Linked DNA regions of Saccharomyces cerevisiae S288C. Changing the gene in region 2 together with the main gene of any one other region gives a genetic interaction. Each region holds a gene or a part of one and is shown on either strand. Other genes may lie near its edges.

Region 1 (2,780 bases), on a different chromosome or scaffold from region 2:
ATAAATTAAAAAAAAAAAAATCAATTGAATTTTTTTTTTTCATGATTACGTTTTGACATTTTTCCTTTTTTTTTCTCTTATTACGATTTACCTTTTTTATTTATTTTTTTCATTTTAGTATTTTATTCTTCGTTATTTATGTATAGAAATTTTCATTTTCATTTAGATTCAGATTTGGTTATCTTTTTTCATTATATATCTTTTGCACTAAGTTTCAACTTAAGTTCTATTTTTTATTTTTTTTTTCTGGGCCCTGGAGCAATAGATATGGGATGGCTTACTGCATCTCTTCAAAATTTCACAGTCATGCTCACCCTTAAGTTCTCAACCTTTTAGTTTTTTTTTTTTTTTTTTTTTATTTTGTATGGCATACTAACTATACAAATATTTATATGTACATTTATACAGTAACCTATTATTTACCGATATTCACCGGTATTTTACTTTAATAGATGCTGGTAATAACGAAAAAAATTGATAACTCCCACCGACAATTGAGAAAAAAAGCAAAAAAGGAAAAAAGGGAAGCACGAATTAATACATTCTGTGTATTTATCTTTTTTATCTTCAGTTTTCCTCCAATCTATGGGCGGCCATTAAGTATGTCTATTATTCTTGGCCCTTCAGTCTTCTTTGGATTTCAATGTCTTGTTGGATTAGAAGTCATCACCACTTTCAGCAATCAAAGCCATGATCATTCTGTACAAGTAGAAGAAGAACATCAATAAGTGGAAACCTAACTTTAGGAAACTCTCCCTTTTATGTTTGCCTAAAGTTCTGAATATTTCGGTAGCATCCAAAAGTTGAACTTTATTGTAGATCTTGTTTAGATTGTAAGCTAGAACTGGTAAGTTCAATAAAAATACAAACCAGTAACCGTTCAGTAAGAATAGTAATGACAAAGCACCATGCAAGGCGGCTTCAGGGGTAATTAACTTGTTAACTTTAGAACATAATTCAATTGGATTGATATAGTCAGCTTCTAAATCAGCGTATAGTATTGTGAAATGCACTTGGCCAAACAAATTGATACAGTTGACAACAACAGCAAGGATAAATAACCAAGCACCCATTTTTCTTTTTATTCTTAATTTTTTTACTTTACTTTAATTGCAGTTCAAAGGTAAATGTCTTTGTTAAGTAGGCAGTGAGACATAATAATATGAGAAAAATCCAGGTCTCTCCTTCGTATTAAGGAATACATGATCTAGCTATCACTCTTAAATCTTTCTCCTTCCTTGTTTTTTCTCCGAAATGAAGAAAAAAAATTTTCTTCACGGAACTAACGTGAAAAAAAACTTTCAAAAAAATACTCCGATACGGGGAGTCGAACCCCGGTCTCCACGGTGAAAGCGTGATGTGATAGCCGTTACACTATATCGGAAACAAATTAACTGAAAATGTTGTATCTCAAAATGAGATATGTCAGTATGACAATACGTCATCCTAAACGTTCATACAACACATATGAAACAACCTTATATCAAAACGAACAACATGAGATAAAACCCGGCCTTCCCTAGCTGAACTACCCAAAAGTATAAATGCCTGAACAATTAGTTTAGATCCGAGATTCCGCGCTTCCACCACTTAGTATGATTCATATTTTATATAATATATAAGATAAGTAACATTCCGTGAATTAATCTGATAAACTGTTTTGACAACTGGTTACTTACCATATATATTATTGAGAAATGGGTGGATTTTGAGATAAATGTGAGAAATGGGTGAATGTTGAGATTGTTGGAATAAAAATCCACTATCGTCTATCAACTAATAGTTATATTATCAATATATTATCATATACGGTGTTAAGATGATGACATAAGTTATGAGAAGCTGTCATCGATGTTAGAGGAAGCTGAAGTGCAAGGATTGATAATGTAATAGGATAATGAAACATATAAAACGGAATGAGGAATAATCGTGATATTAGTATGTAGAAATATAGATTCCATTTTGAGGATTCCTATATCCTCGAGGAGAACTTCTAGTATATTAGGTATACCTAATATTATAGCCTTTATCAACAATGGAATCCCAACAATTATCTCAAAATTCCCCCAATTCTCAACATCCGACTGCCATGCAATGTGCTTTTCTGGATCTCACTCATGATCATAATGGCCCTGTAAAAGGCTCGTACTGTTATTATCATATCTTCAATTACGTATTATTTCGGAGGCTGTACCTATTAGTGAAATAACGCCTCTAAAAATGAAAAGAAGAAAAAGAATATGAAAGGGGTTCTGAATTGCTAAAATATTTCGTCAAAGCTCAATTAGTATCAAGATCAAGTCGTAATTCGAATCAGCATAACAACCTCCAAAACCATATAATAACCTTACACAAGACAAGATATCAATTCAACATGCAAACCCCTTCAGAAAATACCAACGCCAAGTCGGATTCTCTCGACGAACCCGGTGCATATTTAATCGAGGAAAATGTGGCTCTTCCTAAGGACATATTCCATTCGTACTTGAGTTATTGGATATATGAAGCAGCTCACTGTACACCGGTCATGCTTTTGTCTCTAGTAATTGGGGTTTTAATCTCAATAATTATTCTTTTTCATGATAACGAAAATTGCGTTGGGGTTTCTGTAGGGTTTCTCCTCATATTCTCTGGCATTTTAGTGATAGTTCTAATACTCAGGTTTGGACCACAGATCAGTGATGAAGATTTCAAATGTAAGCTACTGATGGAAATTATCACACGGAAACCTACGGTAAAGGGGAAAGAATGGAGGACAATTACATACAAGATGAACCAGT
Region 2 (3,764 bases):
CCAGGTTTCATTTCTTCCTCTTTCATTTTTCGAATTCTCCTCTCTTCACTACTGGCCATTGATCTTTCACTTTCATTTTCCATCTCGTCTTCGCTTTCAATCTCGCTTTCTGTCTCTTCTCCATCGTAACGGTTTCTTGGTACGTAAGTTCTTCCTCGGAGAGATGAAGATCTTTCAGACGACTCAAAACTTGGTGTGTTATTGTAATTATCGCTATATTCCTTTTCCGGTGTGTACTCATCTTCTTCTTCATCTCCACCCATTCCAATCTCCTCATTACGTTGTGTATTGACGGCTGTGCTCAATGCAAATGTGGCGGCGCGTGCTTCCTTTTCTTTTTGCAACCTTTCTCGTCCCAGATCATTCAACTCATCGTCATCATACATTTCATTTTTAGATCTTGATGAAAATATTTCTCTACCTTTGTTTCTCAGTTTCTGTCTTCTGTTCAATCTTTTCTCTTTTCTTGACAATTTCCTCCTCCTTGGCATACCACCAGCGGGTCTTGCAGGAATTCCGCTCGTTGCGACGCTACCAATTTGATCATTGTTTAATCCTTCTTCATCTTCACCTCCTGCTAGTCCCTTACGACCTCCTCCTTCTTCTGCTTCACCTTCATCCCCTGATAAAGTCATTTGAGTATCCATACGATGCAATGAAAATGATCGTCCAGCTTTATCCAACGATGGCAACCTTTGCATCCATGAACTTTTCCCATTATCACCATTGGTGGTGTGTGTAGTGAATGTTTTGGTTAACGTTATCGTGTTCAAATGACGACCTAGAGTTATGATTGCAACTGAAGAACCATGAACTATGATAGAAGTAACAATGAAAAAACAAGTTATTGGCCATATACAGGCTATCAGCTGCCAATGTTTACTTTCCTCTTTTGATGGTACAACATTTAAAGGAGTGGGTTCGTCACTAAAGGTAGACTCTAATTCTCCACGAGCTAGTATAGCGGCAAAAATTGCACCTACACCAATAGGACCAAAATGGCCCACAAAAAGTGCCTCACGCCACGATTTTATATCAGGTATAAGAGGTCTTAATATCATGACTGCAGGGATCCTACGTAAAAAGATGACCACTATCGAAAGTATAATTAAACGCCAGACGTTTGTGCCAATTTCACCGTTGTTGAATTGACTCCAAGGTATAATGGCACCAAAATAGATAAAATACGCATAGTTTAGTAGCAAATCAATCACGGTAGAAACATTACTTTCTTGTGTCTTTTGAGAAAACCACCCATCCCAAGCGAAAGTCGCACCGGCTGCAAATGATACCAATAGGTCATCCACACCCAAAATGGAGCCGAACCCAGCACACATGAACGCCAGGACAACGTAAAATGCTAAGAACGACTCACGATCGATAATGTTTTTCTTTTCGGCAAACCTGATGGTGATTCTGCCTACATAACCAATGAAGCAACCTAGCAAGCATCCAAACAAACACTCATACAGGATAGTAACGCAAATCCAATCTTTGACAATTTCTCTTCCATTACCGGGATGTAGGATTAAATTCATAGAAAGAAATAAAAAAGGAAAGGCCATACCATCATTGCAGCCTGACTCTGCAGACAGTAGATTTCTTAAGTGACCAGGTACTCTTTGGGCAAACTTACCGGAGACGACCGACTGCGCCAGAATAGGATCTGTTGCGGTAATGCACGCAGATATCAACAAACTAGCAGAAAAATTCAAGCCAGGTATAAGAATCCAAACGAAGAGACCAATAATAAGCCATCCAGCTGTCATCACTGGCAATAATAGCATCGTCACAGATACCCAATGCTTCAACATATATTTCCGTGGCAGTTCCACGGCAACGGCAAAAATTTGCAAACATAATACTATTCTCGTTATCTCTAATGTTATACTGTCTGAATTCCCCCATTTCAGAGGATTAAACCAGTTCAAGCAAACAGGACCCACAATTAGCCCAAATATACCTGCTACGGTGGACTCACCAATATAAAGCTTCTCCTTGACATAAAGTGACACTAAAGAGAAGATAGATGAAAAGACACCAACACATGCATAAGCAACGTGCGCCTTTGAGACTTCTAGTTGCTCCCAGATAGCCATAATATCTAGCTAAGTTCAGGATTTTTTTTTATAATGTACAAAAAAACACGATGCTTGGGAAAAATAAGTGCAGTGGAAAATGAAGCTTAAAAATCAAATGTGTGTAGAAAGTGTGATCCTATGTAAATCGCTAAGTCCGCTTTATCTTGACGATAACGGATCCAGCAGCTTTTAGATTATTAGCTATATCACACAGAGTTGGCTTAGTGCCCTTGCTAATCAAAAATGAAAATCTTCCCAATCCGTACGGAGGGGAAGAGGCACTGCCGCATCGCAAAGAAAAATAAGATTATCAGCATTATATTGTTTCTATTATTATATATGGGACTAGGTGATAAGATAAAAGTTAAAACGGGACTCTTGTATGACCTGGTCAACGATATCATAAACCGTGAAGTCATATTCTATGATGGCTTTCTCCAAGAACAGTGTTGTCACCTCTTGTGACCGCAAGTGTATCCCCACGAGGACATGGAATTGCAAATTGTAGGTAGTTTGTAACCAGTGTTTGAGTTGCTTGAGCGTCTTCAGAAACGGATCTATCAGGTACTCGTTGTATATGACATCCATAGCTATAACGTACACGGAAGAACATGTTTCACCTATGAGTGACAACTCAGGATGCAGAGAGTGGGTCTTTTTGTCTTGCAAGTTTATCTTCTCCCAGTCTAGAGCGGCTACTTCCAAATGCAACGTAGACTTAGATGGAAGTGACGCTGCGGTGATATCAGCGTCGCCAACTGGTTCGACGGTGGGAAGTTCCAATCTTAGTGATCGGGAAATGCACCGCTTTCTGGTCAACTGTGATAAGTTTTCCATGATGTTATCTTTTAATTTATTAAGAATGCCCTTCTGATCTGTCGACACGTAGGTGTCGACGAAGTTACCAAGAATCACGGGCAAAATACCTGATATTCCTGCTCCAAGTTCCAAGATACCTCTCTTGCCGCGATCAGCGCCCGTGAGGTCGACCAGCCTGGGCAACTCAAGCTTGTGCCCCTCGCAAGAAGACCCGCAGGTTACTTCCACCTGACTCCCAAGACGGAAAGGTGCAGCGCTAGTACTATACAGCAGCCAGTTGATGAAGAAAGGTGTGGTAGACCACAAAACGTATCCTGTGGTGGAGTTTCCGTTGTCTCTGGACGAGCGCAAGCTTGATATGGACTGCCCCACGCTAACATGATAGCTATCCACAGCAACATTCTGATCTTCTTCAACACTACTAGCCTTATTTCTTCTTCTCACTCGCTTTTTTTTTCTGCCGCCTTCCAGCCCAGAGGGTTCAAACGTTATCTCTAGCACACCGCCCCTTCTATCCTGAATACCCAAATCCTGCGCCAGTTTCCCGGACTGGCCCTCCAATTGTGTGTACCGTTCGAACACGTGCTCGTATATTGTTTCCTCATCCAGTAGCCATAACTTGAATGCCATTCTGCCTAGCCCATTTGCGTCTTCGCTGCCGTAACCATTCTCTCTTCTTGACAGCACTGCCTTGGTCAGTTCTCTATATTTGTCGCGCCGCCGCAAAATGCACCCACATTAAAGAAGACGACGCCAATCGACACCCTAATTTGGAGGTGTAGATGCACAATGGCACATGCAGTTGGGTGCATTGTGCCAGCAATCTCGTCTCGATTTCTCTACATGTAACTTGTATATATATTT

What was found. A genetic interaction does not mean that the proteins touch.
Region 1: of NHA1 (region 2) and ERV14, extra expression of one rescues a mutant of the other (dosage rescue), as found in Saccharomyces cerevisiae (4 studies listed by BioGRID, with this or other methods).

What each region holds. Positions count from the first base shown.
Region 1 is NC_001139.9:400,215-402,994, forward strand, and holds ERV14 (cornichon family protein), read right to left. Parts: upstream 1,074-2,780; coding exon 657-1,073; downstream 1-656. Other genes in the region: pheromone-regulated DUP240 family protein PRM8, read left to right, coding at 2,375-2,780. UniProt on the Saccharomyces cerevisiae protein: Could regulate export of the bud site and axial growth sites selection protein AXL2 and possibly other secretory proteins from the endoplasmic reticulum in COPII-coated vesicles. Seems to be required for axial budding pattern in haploid cells.
Region 2 is NC_001144.5:416,772-420,535, reverse strand, and holds the start of NHA1 (Nha1p), read right to left. Parts: upstream 2,100-3,764; coding exon 1-2,099. Other genes in the region: RKM5 (S-adenosylmethionine-dependent methyltransferase), read right to left, coding at 2,427-3,530. UniProt on the Saccharomyces cerevisiae protein: Sodium export from cell, takes up external protons in exchange for internal sodium ions. Also capable of exporting potassium ions.